Linked DNA regions of Solanum lycopersicum. The protein of the gene in region 4 interacts with the protein of the main gene of each other region in a pairwise test. Links are inferred from orthologs where the notes say so. Each region holds a gene or a part of one and is shown on either strand. Other genes may lie near its edges. The genes, in order: G-protein coupled receptor 1; guanine nucleotide-binding protein subunit beta; protein THYLAKOID FORMATION1, chloroplastic; GPA1; lanC-like protein GCL2; regulator of G-protein signaling 1.

What was found.
Region 1: the proteins of GPA1 (region 4) and G-protein coupled receptor 1 interact in binary tests that used the Arabidopsis thaliana proteins (3 or more experiments, as listed by UniProt). The link is inferred for Solanum lycopersicum from reciprocal best matches to the Arabidopsis thaliana genes GP ALPHA 1 and GCR1.
Region 2: the proteins of GPA1 (region 4) and guanine nucleotide-binding protein subunit beta interact in binary tests that used the Arabidopsis thaliana proteins (3 or more experiments, as listed by UniProt). The link is inferred for Solanum lycopersicum from reciprocal best matches to the Arabidopsis thaliana genes GP ALPHA 1 and AGB1.
Region 3: the proteins of GPA1 (region 4) and protein THYLAKOID FORMATION1, chloroplastic interact in binary tests that used the Arabidopsis thaliana proteins (3 or more experiments, as listed by UniProt). The link is inferred for Solanum lycopersicum from reciprocal best matches to the Arabidopsis thaliana genes GP ALPHA 1 and PSB29.
Region 5: the proteins of GPA1 (region 4) and lanC-like protein GCL2 interact in binary tests that used the Arabidopsis thaliana proteins (3 or more experiments, as listed by UniProt). The link is inferred for Solanum lycopersicum from reciprocal best matches to the Arabidopsis thaliana genes GP ALPHA 1 and GPCR.
Region 6: the proteins of GPA1 (region 4) and regulator of G-protein signaling 1 interact in binary tests that used the Arabidopsis thaliana proteins (3 or more experiments, as listed by UniProt). The link is inferred for Solanum lycopersicum from reciprocal best matches to the Arabidopsis thaliana genes GP ALPHA 1 and RGS1.

What each region holds. Positions count from the first base shown.
Region 1 is NC_090807.1:49,764,702-49,767,545, reverse strand, and holds the end of G-protein coupled receptor 1, read right to left. Parts: intron 2,824-2,844; coding exon 2,680-2,823; intron 2,214-2,679; coding exon 2,143-2,213; intron 1,130-2,142; coding exon 1,024-1,129; 3' UTR 515-1,023; downstream 1-514. UniProt on the Arabidopsis thaliana protein: Together with GPA1, may regulate the cell cycle via a signaling cascade that uses phosphatidylinositol-specific phospholipase C (PI-PLC) as an effector and inositol 1,4,5-trisphosphate(IP(3)) as a second messenger.
Region 2 is NC_090800.1:92,555,243-92,558,734, forward strand, and holds the end of guanine nucleotide-binding protein subunit beta, read right to left. Parts: intron 3,435-3,492; coding exon 3,010-3,434; intron 2,891-3,009; coding exon 2,533-2,890; intron 2,263-2,532; coding exon 2,149-2,262; intron 864-2,148; coding exon 828-863; 3' UTR 504-827; downstream 1-503. Other genes in the region: transcription termination factor MTEF1, chloroplastic, read right to left, coding at 1-20. UniProt on the Arabidopsis thaliana protein: Guanine nucleotide-binding proteins (G proteins) are involved as a modulator or transducer in various transmembrane signaling systems.
Region 3 is NC_090806.1:65,477,054-65,481,203, reverse strand, and holds the start of protein THYLAKOID FORMATION1, chloroplastic, read right to left. Parts: upstream 2,815-4,150; 5' UTR 2,631-2,814; coding exon 2,441-2,630; intron 1,589-2,440; coding exon 1,321-1,588; intron 1-1,320. UniProt on the Arabidopsis thaliana protein: Involved in a dynamic process of vesicle-mediated thylakoid membrane biogenesis. Required for the normal organization of vesicles into mature thylakoid stacks and ultimately for leaf development.
Region 4 is NC_090807.1:49,632,960-49,637,188, reverse strand, and holds the start of GPA1 (guanine nucleotide-binding protein alpha-1 subunit), read left to right. Parts: upstream 1-1,414; 5' UTR 1,415-1,578; intron 1,579-2,733; 5' UTR 2,734-2,807; coding exon 2,808-2,894; intron 2,895-3,016; coding exon 3,017-3,089; intron 3,090-3,527; coding exon 3,528-3,565; intron 3,566-4,229. UniProt on the Arabidopsis thaliana protein: Exhibits a fast rate of basal nucleotide exchange. Guanine nucleotide-binding proteins (G proteins) are involved as modulators or transducers in various transmembrane signaling systems.
Region 5 is NC_090806.1:68,237,507-68,241,576, reverse strand, and holds lanC-like protein GCL2, read right to left. Parts: upstream 2,825-4,070; 5' UTR 2,659-2,824; coding exon 2,491-2,658; intron 2,401-2,490; coding exon 2,222-2,400; intron 1,492-2,221; coding exon 1,380-1,491; intron 1,307-1,379; coding exon 797-1,306; intron 644-796; coding exon 305-643; 3' UTR 104-304; downstream 1-103. Other genes in the region: ultraviolet-B receptor UVR8, read right to left, coding at 3,388-3,711, 3,892-3,999. UniProt on the Arabidopsis thaliana protein: May play a role in abscisic acid (ABA) signaling.
Region 6 is NC_090804.1:8,243,884-8,248,195, forward strand, and holds the start of regulator of G-protein signaling 1, read right to left. Parts: upstream 2,825-4,312; 5' UTR 2,612-2,824; coding exon 2,535-2,611; intron 1,675-2,534; exon of another isoform or gene 1,545-1,674; coding exon of another isoform or gene 1,265-1,544; intron 1,220-1,264; coding exon of another isoform or gene 276-1,219; exon of another isoform or gene 267-275; intron 1-266. Other genes in the region: uncharacterized protein, read right to left, coding at 276-1,219, 1,265-1,544.

The DNA.
Region 1 (2,844 bases), about 130 kb from region 4:
ACCATTGCCAGATATAAGTTACTTGTAAAACAAATACGTATGACATGTGGACACCATCAACACTTGGCAAATTATGATCCAGTTTCACCTTTCCAATTACCACTATAAATCGGTAGTACATTTTCAAATATAAATAAGAAAAAAGTTTGGCATACATCAATATACACTCTCTTTATTTGTTCTTATTTTAGTTTATTATTATTAGTTTATTAGCTATTTATTTTATAACCGTAAAATATTTATTTGTAAGTATTTTGCTTTAAGAATTGGGGAAGATGGAAAACTGTGAAATACAAAAATTTGGGGTATCAACCGTGAAGGAGTATTTATCTGTAGTTATTTTGCTTTGATAGGCATAGTTTCCCCTTAGGAGAAAGCCAAATCTTTCTTTATTCCTAAACAAACCAAAATTAACTCAAAGAAGGTGAGGACACATACACCAAAGCAATCGATACATAAAATGGAACTTCTTGTCAATATGCAATGATGAATTTAGTAATATAATACAATAAAATTTCAGTAAAAATCAAAATAAATATTATATTGTACAATACAATACAATTGCTAACCATCCAAACAAACTGGAAAGGAAAGTCTATGCAGAGTTAGAGAAGATAAGTAGCAAGAGCCAATAACTGTAGTAGATCGAATAGACATAACAAATAAATCAGTAAACAAATGTTCTCTGTTTCGATACATCAATAAACATACAGTATGCCTTGCCTATATCAGAAGACTTAGCATCAGCCCATATCAGATCATATGTAATCTATTGATCACACTAACATTCTTCGGTATCAATAACAAAGTAGGTGCATTAGTATGCTCGAGCAATCAAAAAGGAGCAACAAGCAATTAGCATATGGTGCATAGATGGATCAGTAAACGTATGTGAGCACAAAACCCGGGCTGAAGCAATGGAGAGCATCCCTGTCTGTCACAATGTAGTTATCAATTGTCAATCTGGTCCAATTATGAAAAGGGCGGCAGAATCATTGAGATGACTGTACAAGCATAAAATTGTTATTGCTGATCTTGAATCTTTAGAGAGACTAATTCACTGTCGTCTTGTTGTTGGCCTCTTGACCTTGAGCTCTTAGGAAGCCATCTTTGAGACCATTCAGGTAACCTGGAAAATGATACACATTAAAACATAAACTTAGGAGAAACAACACTAAGGTGATTGAGTAATAAGAAGTTAGAAACTACTGTGCATTTTCATCGCTTCAGAGAAATGTAATGAGGACATTCAGTAGGTATAATTTTTTTATTATTGTTCTTTAGAATATAGCTTCCTAGTGATGCACTTCTTTTTTTAGTTTGTCCCAAAAGTACTGGTACTTTTTTTAAGCATAGAAACAACTTACTATAAAATTTAAACTTCTCATTATATAATGACATGATTTATGGTTTACACAGATATCGATGACTTGTTTTAAACATGTTTCAAAAATGTTTTATTAAGAGCTACATAACTAATATATTTGTACATTTAGCTTTTAATTCACTGTACCTTAGTTAGCTGAGAGTCGGGATAAGTCACAGTTAGTTACAACTAACTGTCATCTCAGTTAGTTTTCAATATTAGTTAGATTAGTCGGTTACTAATTCTTTGTATACAATGTTCTTTGATTACAGCAATAGGTTTTGAGATTCCCATTCTATCGTACTCCCTCAGATTGCTCTCTTCTTCTTTCTCCATTTCAGATTGAGAATAGTAGAATCTCCACTGTAGTTCAGTTCGATCTATTCATTCTGTTTGTGAGTTTTACATTTTTCTTTCTTAAACTCTTACCAAGTTAAAGTGCATCACATAAATTGAGACAGATAGAGTAATGATCATGCAACAAGGACAACTTAACCAACTCTATTAAAATATTGAACAAAGGCTCTTTGACATTAGGAGAAAAGACAAGCAATTTTTAAGTTTTTAACGAAGATACAGTCTCTTGAAACCAAATGACTACTGATGAAACAAACAAGCATATTAGCATTGGCACTACCCAGGATAAAGGAAAGAAGGGAAAAAGATGGAACCAAACGTATGTTACATGTCCCCCCTCCCCCACCCCCCACCCCCTTTTCTAGGGCTATAGAACACTTACTGTTGCAAAAATTTTGTGTAAAAATGAACAGACTTACAGATCCAATCTCTCGTAAATTGCTCTACGGACTGAGCTGTTAAGGCCATATGCTATTGAGTTGAAGAGACCCTAAACAGAGCATAGAAGATTTGTCAAGGAAGAAAATATCTTTAGTGTCAGAGTTGTTAAAAGGAAAGTAGATCAAAACTAAGCATCAACATAAAGTCAGAGATAAGTTCCTATCAACTGAGAATCCCACCAATTCATGGATACAGACACTTAAACTAAACTAATCAACTTTTTTGTTGATTAAACAATGTAACCAATTCAGAATATCACCAACTAATTAAAGTAAACACTTGGCGGCATCGCTCTTGACATTCTGTGGATAAGCTTGATGGATCCAAGTCATTCTATCCAGAGAGGTTTTGATTGTTAACACTAGTTACCAACATGTCTATACCTGCTTGCAATCTATATGGTAACAACGGAATAAAATACTTATCAAAGAGTGGAAGTTCCCACCACGCACCTTACCCAAGCACATCAAAGAAAAGAGAAAAGAGAGAATTCATCTATAGATAATAGAATTTACCATGAGCTGTGCCATTCCAACATCAAGAACAGAAAGCCAAAAGATCTTATGACCTGGTTCAATAACGTCATGTATACGGTTGATTGTACCGAAAAACCATGATCCAATAAGAATGAGGGGATAGTAACCCCAACGATTCAGTGCCTGCGAGATGTCCAACAGCAT
Region 2 (3,492 bases), on a different chromosome or scaffold from region 4:
ATAGCTTCTTTTAGCCACATGTATCTACATTGTCTATTTGTCATGTGGCTCCACATATTTATATGCCATCAATGTACTTCTTCCCTCCCAAATTGTTCACAAAACCAATATTACTCGACAGTTTTACTAATTAAAAATTATGCCTTCTGCTCTCGATTGGATTAGGAAAAGTAACCTAATTTTTGCCTCTACGAGAATTAAATCATCAACTACAATGTCACACCTTAGAGTGCCAAAATGCACTTCGTTTTACCTGTAAAAGGAAAGAAGCAATTTTACCATTGTGCCATTACAAACAAGCTAACAATATTACCAGCACAGAGAATTCTCAAATATGATAGAAAGCCTGAACACAATGATCATTTTTACAAAAAGATGAAAAAAAAACACACTTGTTAATGGAAACAATGAAGCTGGAGGAGAATAAATACGAACATTGAGGAAAAGGAAAAAGTTTATGCCTGGGCTTTTCTGTCAAACTAAGAATTCCGATATTACAACAGTTCTTTGATGGTGGCAAAAGTAAAGCTTGTTTTCATTCCTCAAGATTTTTTTTAAAAAGAATTTTAATTACATAAGCAGCTGAAATCATCAGAGAATTTTTGACAACAAACAGGTTATTTTTTACAACTGGTGCTGGTCTAGTAATATATGTCAGATTCATGTGGAAACAATTTGGTTTATCTGACAGAAATATTAACTAGATTTAAAAAGATCTACAGGTTATGAAGATGCCAAAAGAAATCGCGAACCCACGGGCTGGCCATGAAAGAAAATGAGAATGAAGAGGGACTGGAGATAAATAACAGGATGAGGTGTTTCACAACTCAGATCACACTTCTGTGTCCTCCAAAAGCCCAAATCTGCCAAAGAAACAAAGAAATTAAGATCTTGTTTTAATGGTGGAATACATGGGAAACTGAACTGTGAAGAGTCGGATAAATCTATTGCAGAGAAAATAAAAGAGATAGAGATGGGTATCCTTGATTGTAAATAATTGATTGTAATTCTTTTCTTTTAAGTAATTATTTGATATTCAAGGCTGACCGCTATGCAGGCTAGTCCAAAACACAAAACTGAGGCCCCAAAATTTCAAGGTACTGGTTCCTGAATAGTTCTCACTGAGAAGTGGAATAGGGTTATTTATTTGTGGATTTGGCTCTTCTTCATTTCTTCATGTTCTCACTTGGATGGGGAACAGATGTCTCATTTTAAATTAATGGTTTAGATTATATGCTGAATTGAACTTCTATCAATGTGTTCGATAATGAGGATATGATAAGCTTAAACAAAGAAGTGGGGATTCATATAACAGGCTAGTAGTTGTAGTAAGCAAGACTTTAACCATGATTGAATAGTAGATATTCCATGTATTTTTGCTTCAAAAGAATTTGTCAATCTCAATGCATATCTCACCCATAAATATATTAAGACTTCTATCCTTGTTCTCAACTCTGGTTTTCTAAATTTCTAACCTCCAAACTCTAACCCTTATAGTGCCTATATATTTCATATATTGAAAAAAAAATTGTATCACCAATGAAGGGCCTTAAATTTGCTAAAAATTCAAATTTGTTTGATTAGTAATATTTAACATATCATGACCTTGTGTTTCCAACGAAGAAGTGAATACAAATTCAGTATTCAGAATATTACTAGCTATTGACCATGTATATATAAACGGAAACAAGAAAACCTCAAAGCAAATCCATTTTGTGAATATAAAATATAGTAAAAGCTTAAAACACAGGGTAGGAATTCAGTTGGTATGGAGTGGCAATAACAAAAGTAAATACATTCTGTGAAAATAACAATGTTAGGACATGAATTTAGCTAAAGAGAGGAAAGTTCAGATATCAGATATGGAAATATTTATTACTCTAACCATGATTAGGACCTTGTTTAATTAACCAATCTCAGTCATGGATTTAAAAATATGATATGTGTTTCTCATCCACGTAAGAACTTGGGGAAATGTAGGAGCTACCATCCATTATTTGTATAAGTTCTTTCCTCACACACATAAATTCTGTAATTAATGGTTCTAAACTTCTTAGATTTCTTCATCTCATTAGAATTTGGTTTGATGCTTAAAACCATAATGTAGTTTCTTGTTCATTAGGAAGAGAAAACCACTGTAAAGCTTACCTTCAGGTTTGTATCCCAACTTCCTGTACATAAGGCACTTCCGTCAGCTGACAGTCCCAGACAACTTATTCGCCCTTCATGTGAGTTTTGAACTGATCTTAAGTTTAGGACCACCTATTGATTCAAAGCATAACAGCAAGAAATCAAGCTGATGTCAGATAAGAACAAAGACATCATAAATATGTACAAACAATCAAAATGAAAAGGAAATCTGGAAAGGAAAATGGTAATAATAAATTTAAATGTTACCTACTAAAAAAGAAGAGATTGAGTATGCTTGGATCACGCATTGCCTCAAAATGTTTGCTAACTAGATAATGTTTAGAATGATAGAAGAACGTTTTGGAGAAATGAGTTAAAAAGCAAGATGTAACTTTGTTGTACCTTTGCTAATAGGGTGTCCCACACGTAACAATCACCATTAGAGTACCCGACAAAGAGAAGACGGCCTGAGATAGAAAATGCCATGGAAGTAACATGAGGGATGTCACCGTCACCATGCGGTTGGTTGTATACTTGCAGCTGGTGTCCAGTCCTAATATCAAATAATCTGCAGCTTCCATCATCTGAACCAGTTCCAAATCTATTACCATCAGGGAAGAACTTTACAGTATTGACATCACTCTCGTGTCCATGAAATGTTCGTTGAGCTCGACTAGCAACTCGGGTGTCCCACAGTCGAGCAGTTGTGTCACAGGACCCAGACACAAACAGTCTAGGGTTAGATGAACTAATTGAGACACTGGATAAATGGAAAAGAAATAAGATTGCTTCCCAATATACAAGCAGAAGATACGCTAAACATACTGCAAAATTTAAGGACAAAGAGAGCATAATTGCATAGCCCATACAACAGCTTACCTTAATACATCTGCAGTGTGCCCAGATTGAAACTCACCCCCAAACACAGAAGTTCTTAAGCCAGTAGTTATATCCCAAAGTACACATGTTTGATCACCAGAACTAGTTATTAGGTGAGTATCCTCATCCGGAACATACTGACACGAAGACACATACCCCTTATGCCCACTAAGCATTCTCGATACTGGATGGATCCCATCCTTATCGATTGGTGAATTTAAGTTGAAGATAGAGCAGGCACTGTCAAGGCCGCCACAAGCAACAGACTGTCCACTAGGAGAGAAGGCACAGGTCATAACCCAAGCACATGGAAGCTTAATTGCATGGGTTTTCTGGCTTGTCAGAGCATTCCACACTATTAATCTACCATCTTGGGATGCACTAACTATACGATTTTTTTCAGGAGTCCAGTCCAGTGAATAGACCTGCAAAATATTTTTAAAAAATTGGTAATACAACTTCACAGTTACGAAGTAATACCCC
Region 3 (4,150 bases), on a different chromosome or scaffold from region 4:
TCTTGGTTGGTTCATTTTTAGCTAAAATATAGCCACCTCAAATTACAATCTACCTTTTTAACAAAGAATTCTAAGGCTTGAGCTTTTGTGGCAAGCTTCTTTTTTTTTTTTGTAACTATAAAAAGAAAAGAAAAAAAGCCACAAAAACTGTGGCACAGTTCAGTATAATAAAATCAGATAGTCTCTGTTTGAATGGAAATCAACACCTTAACCTCTAGTCACTAAAGATTAAGGTCCTTGGATTTTTTCTGCTCCCAGCATTATATTTCTGTGTTTGTTTCTTCAAGGCATAAGAGACATAATCTACTTCAATTCATAGGCCACATGGTTTTAGTCTTAAACAATTACCTCTTACAGTTGAACATCTTCTTCATTCCTAAGGCAAAGATTTGCATTTACACTAGATAAGTCTTCTTTAGTGAAATAGGAGACGCCTATTTCTATATCACTAACCTAACCTTTTGATGGAGTACATAGAGCAAACTCTAGAACAATATTAGAATTATCTTAACAAGATAAAGATTGACACTTTTGGCTACCGCGAGAAAGGCTCTCCCTGGTATTCTATCTAGTATATAAAGATGTACTTATGATTCAACTCTTTTCATCAATCTAATTTCTTATTCTAGCATTTTGGGTGAATCATGATTGAGAATTTTCCATACTATGTTCAGAACTTGAGAGTAGTTGCACTATATTTGGGTTTTGCTAAGCATGTACGAAGTTTGGTTATGAAACCTACTCTATAAGTTGAGATTGTTTTGAGAGGCATGGGTTACGTTAGTCAGGTCAGAACATACCAGGTGTCAGTCGTGGCTCTAAAATGGTCTCATGACACTCTACAAGTGGAAAATGTATAATTTGCTCGATCAATCTCATCCAATGTAATCTCTTGGTTAAAAAACTTATAATAGACATATCCACTTCAGAATGGGGTTACTTTATTCAGTTTAATCATGGGTTCCTCTTCGTAAGCCCAGGAAGATACTGTTAGATTAAGGATAACAGTGAGCTACCTCTTAGTAAATAAAAGTTGATCAAGGGGTTCTACAGCTAATTCTGAATAGCACTTCCATTCATTGAGAAATCATACACCTGCATTTCTCAAACTCCATAATACGGCTAAGCCTGTTCATCTTGGGTTTTGGTTCCATTCTCCAAGAAAATCTTAATGATAATTAAACTTATATTTTATCTAAAACTACCTTACTGGAAAGCTCAATGCAAGCATCCCGTCACTTATAAAAAATTATTTGTGTGCCTATAAACAAAAAAGGAGTAAAAAGCAACAAAAAGTGGCAAGAGATGGATTAAGCATGCCTGTATTGCTCAGGATCCTCCTTTAGCGCCTCTACATATGCTTTGAAGATAGCATTACGATCCTCTTCACTGGGGTAGCCCTCCATAAGTTGATCATACACAGTAACAAAACCTAGGGCGAACACAGGATCATATTGGTAGGATTTCTTGTACCTTGTCAAATGTTGTTGCACGATTAGCTCTTGTAACACTGTGTTGTAGACAGTTGGAATTGGTCGCTTGTAAGCGGTCAAAAACTTCATTTTAGTGTCAGCAACAGTTGGCAAATCTGGAAACAGTTCAATATAACACGCTGCATTATTACCTCATAACATAAACACTTGAAAAATCACTAAGATAGAACTGAATAAATAACGAGAAAGAAATTAGACGAAAAATGTGAATGCAGAAAACGCGGGCAGCTGCATGAATGTAGACAGAAATATTAAACAGGAGAAAACTTTACTTTATCTGTTAGTTCAATATCCATGTTTTCCCCCTTAACAAGTTAATTCAACTTTCATTAGCAATAAATAGTACTCCCTCCAATCCATTTTATACAATGTTATTAGTATGAACATGGAGTCTAATATGTTAATTTGACTAGTATATGTACTTGATAATTCTTTTTGAAGAAGTAAGGTCATTTAATTTACACTGCATTACAAAAGTAATATCATGAATGAATCATCCTGTAAGCTAATTAGGGAGCTAACAAATATTTAAGCAATGGTCAAGAACTTATATGATCAAAAAAATCTCACACCAAAGTTAATAACAGGAATAGGTTAATGCATTTAAATTCGTGAAAGTTCTAAAAGTTGTACAAAAATGGAACAGTGTAAAACATCTATATAAGGCAGAATGTAGAGAGTATATAACTGTAAAATATTCTCAATACTTCAAATAACATATAAGCAATTCCAACGAGAAAACATCCGCATACACTATATCTAGATCCAAATTCAACCTTTATGCATTTCATATAACAAATAGTAACTAGTTAAGCAATTGTAACATTACACATACAGAATCATGCAATTAGCTGAGAAATTAAACTAAAACAGAAATTAGATGAAAAAAAGTTACTGTATAGTTTAATTTTTCCTAATTCAAATTCGAAGCAATAAAGAGAACTTGCCTGCAGCTGAACTGGACGTGCAATGAACGACAAAGCGAGAGGTGGAATTGGAAGATCGAACATTGACGGAATCAAAGGAGAAGTTGGAACGGAACCTAAATGTATCAATAGAACGAGACGAAGAAACGGAGGATTTCCTTTCCGCCGATTGAGTAATCGCCGAGAAAGATACTGAAGTAACAGCCGCCATATTTCTACCGGTGAAGAAGAAGAGGAAGAAGAAGAAACTGTTGGTTGCTTTAGAGAATAGAGTTGTATTCCATTTCAATTTTTTCTGTGAAAAATGGAGAAAGGAGAAATGGAGTGTGAGGTTTGGATTTGAGGGCTTATCCGATGGCTTTTAGGATATTTCATTTTCATATTTAATGTTTATCAATAGACGAATAATATCACAACACGTGTACTGATTGAATCCGTTGTGTACTACTCCTTTTTGTGGTTACGAACGATTATTGTAACTTGTAAGCTAGATGCCAAGTGGTGGTGTAGTTTGGTATCTTAATAGACTTATCAATCAAATTCAAAGAATAGTAGCTATAAATTTGAACATGATAGTCAGGTCAGATAAATACGATAAAAAATTAAGTTTTTAATTATGATTAAATTAATTTTTCAATTAAAAATAATAAAGTTTTAGATTGAATGTGAGAAATATCGATTTAAATGGTGAGAAACCAATTCATAGTAAATCAGACATTACTAATTATTTAAACGAATTTACATTTATAATTTTAAAATAATTATCATCACAACAAAAAGTAATTTACTCCCATAATAGTTTCGCAATTTACTACTGAAAATTGATTTATGTCTAAGAAAAGAAATAGAAGTCCCAGAGAATCACCAAGTTAGTAACTGGAGATAGCCAGAAAGGTCATTTTGACATGCTGTTATATTGATACTTTTTTTTATTTCATATGGATGAGGATTCAAATTTTTAAAATGATACTTAATGGGAAAATTGTCTTCTAAAATTTAATCACACCTTAAATAAAAGAGAGAACAATGAATGTATGATGTATTAATTCTTTATTTAATTTGAAAAGCATTATATTTTGGGAAAATGCATTGCTTTAAGGAAAATATAAAAGGAACTTGTTTGAGTGGCTCTGAGTCCTTTTAGCAAACTCTGCTTGAAGCCTCACTTGTTTATTTTTCCATCTATTCATAGTATTTAAAACGTAAATATTCTATTCTTTTCAGATTTTACTAATGAAATATACTATATGGATATATGGATATAGAATTTTACATTAATGACAAAATACAAAATTAACTCATATTCAACTCTAACTATATACATTGAAATTATAATTTGGGGTTACGCGTTGAGCCCCTAAGCACACCCGTGCCAAAATGCTCATACAGCAGGCCCAGAATCAAAAACTTTCGTCACATTGCTGATTGATGCAACTGTGATCATACTCCATTTTTTCAGTCCATGGCCCATATGGGACTATATTTTCAGACCATGAGAATATAAAATTTTAATAATAATTGAACCATACAACTTTATTGTTAAGATTAATTTCCACAAGCATATATGCTATAATACCTTTTCCAAAACATTTGCCAAAATAATGCATGTAGGAAAATGCCAACATGATGTGAACTCGAGCAGCAAAGGGCCTATTAATTAATTCATAATTAAACTATATTATCCCAAAACCTAACTTCTTTATTTTATTTTTTATATATTCCAAACTATAA
Region 4 (4,229 bases):
TGTGTTTTATTATGATTATTAGAAATTAATTAGATTAATATTTCTATTCAGCTATTTATGTTTTTGCTTGAAATCAGATTTAATAAATATTATATAGATAATTTTATTCTGTATTTGATTAATAAATAGTAACACTAACCCTATGTAATATTATCTTGTCGATACTTATGATAATATTTTTAAATTATAATTTAATTTAAAAAATTATAAAAAGGTGTAAGTTTGAGAAAAGAGGGCTGACTTGGCAAAGGCCGTAGTCCACACATTTGTGAGTTGGACCGACCATTTTCTGGCCCTCACAAAAAATGAACTAGTACGAACATGTCAAATTGCAATGCTCGTATGGATTAGCCTGAATGGAATAATAAGCTAGTCCATATTGACAACTCTAATTAATGAGCCATGTGCAAATATGAAGTACTAGTAATCTACTTCTTTTGTTTTTTTTAGAATAAAAGAAGGGGTATCAAATGAGCGGATTTGGTTAAATTAGAAATATTAAAATGAGTTCAATAGAAATTGGGTTGGGTCTTGACCCGCACAAATTTATCCGATTAATCTCAATAATTTAACATATTGATATTTAATTTTTATAATCACAATTTGAATTTTCGCTTAAGAATTTTTTTTGTTAAAAAAGTAACAAATGGATAGATAAACCCTAAAAGATGTTAGATAAATAATAATTCATACATTCATATAGGAACATATCTTAATAAAAAATTTTAAAACGGGTTGAAATTAGAGATTGAATTGGGCTCAATTAAGAATTCTCTTCAAATAAGTTAAGCTTGAATGGGTTGAGAATCAACCCAATACAAATATCTTGAGTCCAAACCTTAAAATTCTGGACGGATTAGACGGGTTACCTATGTTTGAGTTCACTTTTAACACCCCTAAATAAAAGTGAACAAAAAGAAAAGAAAAGGATATTAAGAATCTTGACCATAAAAATAATTCATACTTTTTTTTATTCTTGAAAATTAATGTTTGATTATAAAAATTTCAAATTTAACTCGAAATTATATTTCAAATTTGGAAAATAATTATAACATGTTTTCAACTTAATTTTCGCTTTAAAGTTTTATTAAAGTACATTCAAATATGAACGCTATTACAAATATTCTTTTGAAAAAAGAAATCAATTCGAGCAAACCCTATTAATTAAGACATTATATGTAAATTATTCCTCTCTTCATTAAAGGTCTTGAATTTGAGGTCTGATTATAAAAAGTTCTTACTAAAAAGTACTATCATTTAAATAGGACTTTATATTACACAAATTTAAAATAATTGAACTTTAATACGAATACCCAAAAAAGAATGAAGATAAGGAAATGAAGCACTAATGTTAACACGTTGCGAAAAACAAAAGAAAAAAGATATAAAAAGTTAAAAATGTTATTTGTTTTTTGGTTAGTCAAAAGTTTGAACCTTGACTCACACTATGGTTAGGTAACACTATTTTCTGTGTCTGTCTTTCTTTTGTCTCTCTATAAAAACATTGTTTCTTTCAGCTTTCTCCCTTTATTTATCTCTCTTTTCATCAGATCAGTGTTTCATCTTCCAGATCCTCTGGTTAGTACAATCTTTAAGTTAATTTATTATCTTTATATATATAAAAATGTAATCTTGCTGGTTCTTTTTTTTTTTTTTTTAAATGGTTAATTTACAAATGTTTTAGGGCTTCTTGTGGTTCAGAATCTAAAAATGTTGATTGTAGTAAATAGATGATTGAATTAATTGTTAAAGTAGAGAAAAATTGGAAGTTGGTAGCTATTTTTAAGCTTTTACACATATATCTTTTATGTATAAATGTTAAGTTTTTGCTTTTTTAAATGTTTTTTTCTGGGGTTAGTTTTTAAAGGTTTTAAGGTTTGAAGTGTTTCAGAATTGAGAATGCTAGTGAGTAGGGTGTTGAATTGACTGTGTTAACTGTAGTTTTATTTATGTTTTCATTTTATTTATTTTGTTGTTGTTATTATTGGAGTGATGGGTAATTTGAGAAGAGGCTGTGTCATCTTGGATGAATTAAAGGGGGTTTTAGTTACTTCTTTGTTATTTTGGAAGTGATTAATTGTAATGTATGGTATAATTTTGAGGTTAACAGTGATAATCCAGCGAAGTTTATTTACGAGTATTGGAATGAGATATATTTGAATAGAGTGAAAGGGGTATAAATGACAGTCGAAATGAACACGTACCAGTTTAACAATGCGACAACATATCCAATATATATATTCCTGCAAGTGGGGTCTGTCAAGGGTAGGTGTACGCAAACCTTGCTCCTACTTTTGCTGGGTAAAGAAGTTGTTTTCGATAGATGCTTGGCTCAAGAAATCATTTTCAAAAAAGATTTGAAAGAAAATAGATGATTCGTGTAGCTGACCCAAATTATTTGCCATTTAGGCTTAGTTGATTAATAATGAGGATTCAACTGCCTTTTGTTTCTTCTCTTTGTGAGTTTCCTTGCAACAATGAAATCCTGAACATAGTTCCCAAGTGATCGTGTGACATTTCCATTGATACATTTGTGTATAATTGCCTTAGTTGACTCTGGGGTTGGAGAAGGGTATCTTGAACTTTTATTGGATTGAGATGCAAACATGGGACAAGGGAGACGTACTTCGATTATTCTGTAGATGCAATTGAACTGCAGTTGCAGTATAGTCTTTTGTGCATAAGTACCTTATTGGCTTATATTTTTTCTGTTAATTGTTTCTCTTTGAAAAGTAGGCATACATGGACATCATAAAGGAGCTGTAACAACAGATTTGAGATCCCTAGTTTAACTATCACACAGGCCTATGCTGTCGGTGGTTTTCGAAAACATGGGCTCGTTGTGCAGCAGAAACAAACACTACAGTCAAGCCGATGATGAGGAAAATACTCAGGTATGAGTTATACGAAATAGATTTGGAATTTGGTATAGTCCATAGTACTGTCTACAAGCTAGGAGAGCGAAAAAAATATCTTACATAACCCCCAGTGTCCTGACTAGATCATGTGTCTTCAGACTGCAGAGATAGAAAGACGGATTGAACAAGAAACAAAGGCAGAGAAGCATATTCAGAAACTTCTTCTACTTGGTAAATAAGGAAAAAAATATAGTCTTCAATTATCATATGATCTAGTAATTTCTTACTTTGTCTTTGCCTTTGCCTTTTCCTTTTATGGTCACCATACCCATGTAGTGATTTATGATGCCTACAAGCTATAGGCATATTCTATTTCTACATTCAGACTTGTTATATTTGAGGAGGCAATTGGTTATGAACTTTGCTTTTCCTCGAAGGTTCTGCTTCATAAGATGCTGGTGGAGGAAGCATAGTGAAAAAAAGATTCTTTGGAATATTGTTGTAGCATAGAGGAACTTCCACCTCTGGATTGACTTATTTGTCGAATTCTTTGTTCTTCCTTGTCTTATAGTATTCTTTTGCCATATTTTAAACTTACTGCTGTGTGTTTGCTGGTTAATGTCCTGTTTGACTGTGCTTGCTGAATGCTGATTTTTCTGTTGTTTCAAGGTGCCGGAGATTCGGGGAAGTCTACGATTTTTAAGCAGGCAAGAGATCTTATAAAATATCTATTAAGATTTCATTACTTTTAAAATGTATATGTTAATGTGTTGAAGTGCGTGACCATCTTATCTAAATGGTTAAGTTTCCACGCATCTTTATTACTTAATTATGTCTTCAACGTGTCGCCACATGTGCCGGATGGATCTAATCAATGTCCGTGAATGATAAATTATAGGTTGAATTGCCGAGCTTGATTCTTTTTGATGAGCCAATCACGTGAACTTTTTTTTTCTGATAATGGATAGTGGTGAGACTCGAATCCAGTGGCGGAGGCAGGGGGTTTAGAATATGAAGAAGTAAACATGTGAAAATTACAAGAAAATAAACGCAGCGAGCGGCGAAGGGCAGGACTTAGCTTAACCCACTAAATTTTAATATGTCTTGTCAATACCCCATTTAACATTTCTTCTTGCTTTTGCCTTTGCTCCGTCAAGCTCTTCTTAGATAAACTTCTTGGCTGTGTCAAATGGATTTATTATGGAATATATACACGCGTAAAAATTAAATTTTATCTGTATATACGGCAAAGGGGGTTCCACCCCTAGCTCTGTCCCTGCTCGAACCCAAGACTTTTGCCTGCTATGATAACGTGTTAAATGTATCATTTCATCTTAAAGTTTAAGTTGTTAGAGAGAAAATTTTTATTTA
Region 5 (4,070 bases), on a different chromosome or scaffold from region 4:
TATAATCTAGGTCAAAGGTATAATTTAAATCCCATAGGCCATATTAGTCTACCGAACAAGTTTAGTACTTATCCATCTTAATAAATAAGTTTTTGAGGTGAAATTTTTGTAATTTACTTTTCTATACAACTTATTAGAGTATGATAAGATAGAATGTTTCACGTTACCTTTTAACAATACATCATATGATAATACATCTACCTTACATAAAAAAGATTAACATAGCTAATTCTACAACCCACAACATGTTCATTCTGTATGTACAAAACTAGAGTGATTGTGTTCATTTTCTGTATGTACAAAACTAGAGTTCATAAGCAGGGAACCTTGTTTCTATTGGATCTATCATGTCGAAAAAGAGATAAGCCATTCCTCCCATTCCTTCAAACAACGAGTATGGACGATCACCTCCATGCATAACTCCCTCTGATACAAGTATTTGAGCTCTAGCGTGCAGAAAGCACGCGAAGGCCTTTGCCTTGTACAAATACTCAACTTTACCTGTCAAACGATACAGTGAAAGAAAGACATAGGAATTTCCACTAACACCGTGACATATTCCAACTCGTTTGAGTAAGCCTCGATTCCAAATCACCTCAGCTGCTTCTATAGCTGCCTGCAGAAACTCGTCATTGCTGAAAACCTGAAAAGTTACGACAATGATGAGCAGAAAGCCCTTCCAGGATCACGCATTTCATCTCATGTCTACGCGGATTGAGGAGTTTTATATAGTAACTATTAGGAACTAACATCAAGATTACTGTGTCTGTGCAAGGTATTACTCCATAGTCCATACCTTAGCTGCTTTGATTAGAGTAAGGGCAACACCTGGAGCACCATGACACCAATGCACAAGTCGGTCAGATTCACTTCCTTCACTTGAGGGGTAATTTCCACTAGGAAAACGATTTCGGATCATGTAATGCAGTGTAGCCTTCACATCCTCGACCTCATCTGCTTTCAGTTCCATGTCCATAAGTACATGCATTATCCCAGCTAGTCCATGAGCAGCACCCCAGTATCTTTTTCCATGCCATTCATACATCAGTGGACATTTTCCTTTCCCCATTTTTCGTCCGGACTTTATAACCTCAGCAACAACTGCTCGCTGCATAAAAAAATTCCGAAGAAATAAAGAGCCATTCATAATGAGGAAGCATACGTGATTGAAATTTGTGAAGTTTCTTACAATTTGGGTTGGAGATATTGTTTCTCTACCAATATTTTTGTTTAAGAATGAACAAGCCCACAAGAAACCAGCCCTCCCATACAACAACTCATTTGGAAGATCTTTAGGAAGCTCAATCTGCATTTGTAGATAGATAATGAGAAGACTATTGACATCAACAGAAAAAGCTCGAAACAATGAAAAAAAAAACCTCTTTGAATTTCGTCAGATAGTGATCACACAATTGTTCATCCCCGCTCTGTTTGGCCACAACTGCACCAAGAGAATAAACACCAGCTTGTCCACATATGAAAGTCACACGCCTGCAGTTTCACAAATTAGAGTTCAACTTCTCGTTATGTAATTTGCCTAAAACATGTTTCTATGTGGGAGGAGATCATGAAACAGAAACTTCGATTGGATTGTCTGGTCGGATCATTTGACCACCGCCACCGCATCACTCAATCTACAAGGGATCCAACCAACTTTTACAGGTCTACTCCCATCTGATCGGAAACTAGTTTACTTCATGGTCTTCCCTATCCGATTTATATTAACAGATTACTTGATTATTGAGTGAACGGTTTAGTAAAACTCACAAAAAATATAGAACATTTAACTTGAAACTAGAACTAAGGTTACATAAAAACAGACTATGGCTTTCCCTAATACTCAACCCATGTAAAAGGACAGAACCTTCTAAACGTATCAATTTCCTCTTCATCTCTTCAACTTTTTTACCTTCTATTTCCTTATTCATAGGGTCTTTTTTATCCAGTCATCTTCACAGACATGTCTAATTAACCGAGCAACTCACCAATACAGTGATCAGTTCGTTACACCTTTCATGTGGATCGAACTTACACTTAGCACCGTTATAGTTTTTGGTCGCCATTGTTTATCATGAAGATTAAGATGACTTCTCATGCAGGATAATTAAAACCAGAAGATATGTTCATATACCAAAAAGTTATCATCTTTCTTCAGACAACACAAATCAAATTTTAGCTCAAATCATAGGAAAAAGGGTGAAATTTTGCAAAGGGAGTGTACCCAGAACCGCGGGAAGCAGAGTCACAAGCCTTGATAATATCAGAACAGAGAGCAAGATCATTCTTGTCAAGAGTAACTTGGTAAGCTTTAAATAACAAAAAAGCAGTTCCTAAAGCTCCAGTGTAAATTGTATAGTCACTCACTCTTCCCCTTTTACATACCCATGTCTCCTTCACAATCTGAAACATATCAAAATCAAAATTAGAAAAAAAAACAGGGAATTTACACAAACACCTAGCAGGCACTCTATACTCAAGAGAAGTGATTACCGTTTCTTTGAGATCAAAAGCAACCCTTTTGAGATTGTCGCAAACAGTACCATAAGGCAAATACAGAAGCTCTAACAATGGATCTTTTGCTCCTTCAAGAAATGATTCTTTAACTGTAGTTTCATCAACAAAACTAGGCATGGTGTTTGGAAAGAAACGATCTGCCATCTCTTTATTTCCGGTTCTGTTGAATCCTCCGCCGGAACAAATTTATGGAAAGAACAGAGCTCCGGTGGTTCTCAGAAGACAGAACAGAGCAAGTCTATCCGGGGTAGTGTAAGTTTTTTTCTTTATTCACGAATGTTTTAGTTTAGTGTATCAAGCTATTGATATCCATATAAATATAGATGATTTATTCGATTTTATTGATAATAGACTTTTTAAAATTATCAGATGTGGTCAATATATTAAAATAACAAATATTATCCTTAATAATTCGAATAATTATTTAGCAAACATGACTATAAAATTGTTTTTACTTAATTGGTAATTATTTCTTTTACAATTTAGGAGAAGTCTAAGATGCTCAATATTATTCGGGATCTAAAGCAAAATTTTAGTTTGAGACCACAGACATTAACTAATTCTCTGCCCTCTCTCAATCTCGCTGGCTATATATACAAATACATATATATAATATGTACAATTATCAAACAGATATATACCTAAACTTTTTTTTTGGTTAGAAATTGTACCTATGATCTAATGTTGTTTTCTGCTCTTCTGTAGCTGGAATGAGAAAGAGGCTGTAATGAACTTCAGAAGACAATAATGTATGATTTGTCTTTTTTGTATCATACAACAAAAAAGTTCTTTACAAAAGATCTAATCACAAAACATTCAAGTCATTTTTTGAAATGTTATATAACGATGTAGAAACAATATTTGTTTGGTCAGTCAATATTTTGTACTTATTGCTTTCTCCATAAACATTTCTGTAGGTTCAAGACATCCCCTTACTGCATCATGTCCAAGTTGGGCTCTTTCGTTGTCTCCAAATCCAAAGACTCGTCCACAATTTGTAACAACTACTGTGTGGTATAAGCCAGTGCTGATTTGAGATATGTGATGGGATCTCAAGCTCTCCAGGATACGAGGCTTCAAAACTTTATCTGATGCTCCTCTGTCAAGGAATCCGAGGCTACCAAAACCCATCCAGCCAAAGCCATAAACAGAACCATCGTCCACAAGGACAAACGTTTTCCTCTTGCTTGCACAAACCTACCAATAGAGGCAGGCAAAATTAAGCTAGGACGAGGAAGACTGTTATGTATTTTACAAGCCTTGAATTACTTTGTATCATATTACTTGCGTTATACACTAATTTGAGTTATTTCATGTTTCCAAATGTTAATACTGATCTTTGTAATATCGACTAGCAAAAGTAAAAGAATGCCAGACCTGAACTGCTAGATGGCTCTTAAGGCTGGTCAAGTGTGACGGAGTAGTCTTATCAGTCTCATCACCATGCCCCAATGCACCGCAATAACCTTTCCCCCAAGTATATACCTGAAATCACGAAAATCAATCATCAGTCGTGACAGCACTTTATTCTTTTCTGCAGTTAACCAACTCTTAGC
Region 6 (4,312 bases), on a different chromosome or scaffold from region 4:
TCGCATTGATCCAGTAGATAGCATATTCAAACTACCTTCTCCTGCTATTCCTGGCAGCACCAACTTATTAGCCTTCCTTCCTATAGTCACACACTTCCTCTCATGATCGAACTTAGTTGGATTATGTTTCTTCATCCAGTCGTTTCCCAACACCAAAGCACAGCCTCCCAAAGAAATAATGAGCAAATCGTCCATGAAAATTCTTTCCTGCATTTTCCACAAAACCCTCTACAATGAGAATTACACATTACATAATTGCCATCCGCCACAGTTACTCATACAGGCGAACAAGGCTGAGGCTTATAACCCGATGCAGCTAATGTATGCTTGTCGATGAAACTATGAGTGCTTCCCGAATCAATCAGTATTGCCAAATGTCTCTTCTTAACAGTTCCTCCCACCAGAATTGTATTTTCTCCCATATTATGGCCCGTCAGTGTATTTAAACAAACAGCTTGTTGTACCTCCTGTTCAACTACTCCTTCAATGGTGATGTCTTCATTTTCATCCAATTCTGAAACTTGATCGCCTTCTTTATCACCCTCAACGAAACCAGTCAAATAATTCAACTGCCTTACTTTACAAGTATGTCCCGGACCATATTTCTCTCCACATAGGAAACACAAGTGATTCGACTTCCTAAACTCGTAAATCTCAGGAGTAAGCCGATAAGGTCCATTCCTATTAACCATAGCAGTAGATGTTTTTCCTACTCCTTGTACAGCTGCCGGCAACACTCGGTTTGCTACTCTGTTTCTCCTTCGGCCAGCTTCAATTGCCATTTCCTTCATTCTCGCTTTCTCTGCAGCTTCTTTCAATGTCCTCGGTTTGAACATTTTCACCTCTAATTTGATCTCCTCTTTTAGTGCTCCAACGAAACTAGATAGGAAGTGAGCTTCATTCAAAGCCGGATTTCGTATAAGCATTTGAGCTTTTAGATCCTCAAATCGTCCTAAAAACTCTTCCACAGTTCCGATCTGTTGCAATTTATTAAATTCTTCCACCACATCACTCACTACAATTTCCCCAAACCTACTTATCAAATCCTCTTTAAACTCAATCCAATTCGGTATTCCTCCACTTAACACCATCGACTGATACCACACTTCGGCTGCATCGGTCAAATACAACGTAGCCATTTCTACCCTCTGTTCATTGCCCACTCTGTACTGTGTAAAAAATCTATCACACTTTCGGATCCACACCTTCGGTTCCTGACCTGCGAAATAAGGTAACTCCCACCTAGGTAACGTCACTTAGGAACCTGCGAAATAAGGTAACTCCCACCTAGGTAACGTCACTGCATTCGGCTGAGCTCTGTTGCGATTATCCACATTTGGAATAGGTAGTAAACCTGCTCCCACATTCGGAACCACTTGAGCTCTCTCCAACACTCCCAATCTCTCCAAAATTAAGTCCAATGTTCCTTGAATTCCAGTTTGAGCATGACGTACTTCCTCTTGTGAATTCAGCAGATCAGCTAGCATTTCATCGTGTCTTGTTAGCTTATCCTCTGTAATTTTCCAACGTGTACCCTCAACCATCACACAGGTTCGAAGGCTCTGATACCAACTGTTATGACCTTAATAAGACCACAAATTCAATTTACAATTTGAATTGAAAATCACAGAAACCAGACCAACTTTATTGATAATAGGAAGTCTCAATTACACGTAATGAACTATCAACTAAGAACTTCGTAACCTCCATAGAAAAGCTGTAAATGCAAAATGAAGAAGAAGGATGAGAACAAAAGGAAGTACAGAGAAAGAAGATAGAAGAGAACAGAGAAACAGAAAGAAAGGGAACGTGAGAAGAAGAGAGGAAAGAAACGTGACTTTTCCCAATAGTTTGTTATACTTCTCTCTCCTCTAACCACTATTATATAACCACCTTCAATCTACGTGGCATCATCCTCACCATCGCTTCTCATTAAATCCTAGCCGTTCCTTTCTAACGATAGTTCCTTCTTCCAAATTTCAGTTACTACAGTTACTGCTGTCGCCTTGTTCCGATATCGAATCCCCACCTCGCTTCACTGATCTTCACTTCATAACACCGACACTATGCACGTCCTTGTTATACTTCCCCTTCTTGCCCCATTGTCATACTTAAGTGGGAAGAAGACAAGTGAAAGCAAGGCAAATAAACGCAAAGCAAGCTCTAGAGACGTACAATCTTCCAACCCCTAATTCATTGACCTAATTAGAAGTAAATAAATTTTGTGAACACAAAAAATCCTTATATGTCAACTTTCTTCACCCCTTCATCAAACTGATTAATCAAAAAGGAGGCCAATCTTGCTTCATATTCCAAAGTTTGATCTTTTCCATCTTTTATCAGCCTTATTGACAAAGAGAAGAAATCGTTCCGAACAAAATCCAAATTCATTACAATATCAAAGAAAAAAAAATGTCTTTCAATTTGTCCAAGATTGCATACCTATCAATCAGAAACAGCAAGAAAAACACAAACCACAAGTATTTGACTTCACAATTTCCACAACCAGCAAAAAAAAAATTCAGAGAACTTACAAGATCATGGACAGTAGAGCAGCTGAAAGCGCTATATAGTCACTTGGGCACCCTCCTTTGCTAGAACAAGCTGCCATCTTTATTCTCCCTACAGTTTAGTTGCTGCCTCTGTTATGCCCATCAACTGTTTGTAGAAATGTCTATGAGAAGGAGGAGGCCGACATGTGTTTACACTAACTTCAGTTTAGTCAGCAGAAATCAACCATATTTATTTAGTAAAGTACATGGGAAATGTTAGCATGTTAAAGAATTCGTTTAATTGTCCTAAGCCACTATTTTTGACCTTACACACAACCATATGTAAATCAATTATATTAATATAACGAATCACTCATGTGATAGAGTGATAAGTACTTCTTCATTTTTAATTAAAAGGTCTCGGATTTGAGCATTTTTGAATAAGGAATTGTCTTTATTAGATAGTGTTTTACCTTCAATGTATTTCGAATTTAGTTGGACTTCAATGTGAATACTGGACATCGGATGAAAAATTTAAAAAAATCATATTATTTATTTGTTTCGATTTGCTTTCTTAATTTAAATTAACAAGAAATTTTGGAAATTTAGTAAATACTTTTAAATAGGAAAAATTACGTAATTAGACATATATTACCATCATATACAGTGGAGTTAGGATTTTTAATAAGGAGTTTAAAATCTGAAAAAATAGATACATGAAGTAATCGAAAGAGATTCGACTAGTGGTGGAGCCAGGATTTTCAATAAGGAGGTTTACGATTCGTAAAGTTAGACATATGGATTAGCCGAAGGGGGTTCGACATCTACTATATATACATAAAAAAATTATTTTAATTATGTATAAATAGTATAATTTTCCGTTGTCTTTATTATTTTTAAAAAAAAAACTATTTCAGCAATAATAGAAAACAAGGACTTGCTAACAATATTTATGTTATTAGTAGTAGTAGATGCTCTTATTTGGAGTTGGAACCAAAATAAGCTACAAAAATATAAAAGTAACGAAAATAAGTCACTATTTTAGTAAGTAACTAAAATAAACTTAGTGGAACAAAAAGTTTCACTATATCCAATAATCTAAACGTTTTCCGTTAGTTTCATAACGTTTATTTTTAATATATAATGGAACATTTTCTTCCACTTTATAAAGTGGAGTTTTTTCTTTCACTTTATAAAGTGGAACTTTTTATTCTACTTTATAAAGTGAAACTTTTTATTACACTTTATAAGAAGAATATTTTTCACGTCTTGAAGAAGTTTTTTCAGTGTTGTCATATAAATTATATTGATTTGATATATCATTAAAATGGAAAAGAATATTTCATTATGTATTTTTATTTTTAATTCTGAAAAATCTATTTAAGGACGTTTATACATAGTTGATAGCACTTACAACATAAAGTCTTCTATATTTGTTCATTTCTATCTAAAAAAATGTCTTCTACACCTTAAGTTAAGTTTCAATTTATTGGAATGGCGAAATTATACATGACAGAAATACCGTTTATTATAATTGTCCTCCCAAACACAATGCTAAATATCCAATAAATGTCTGATATCATAAATTGATAAAAAAAAAGGTAAAAACAGTACGATTATAATTTGATTATAGCCGGAAAATACCCTACTTCATTTTTATCACAAGGACAAGTAAATTTTGGAGAGTGAATTATCTATAATGATGAATCGTTGACCGACTTTTTGAGGGTTCTAAATGACTATATAGATCAAATCAAGTTAACAAAACTTGAAATCTATGTTAGGAAGGAGCCTAAGATTAGTCAACAACGTTCTCTTTT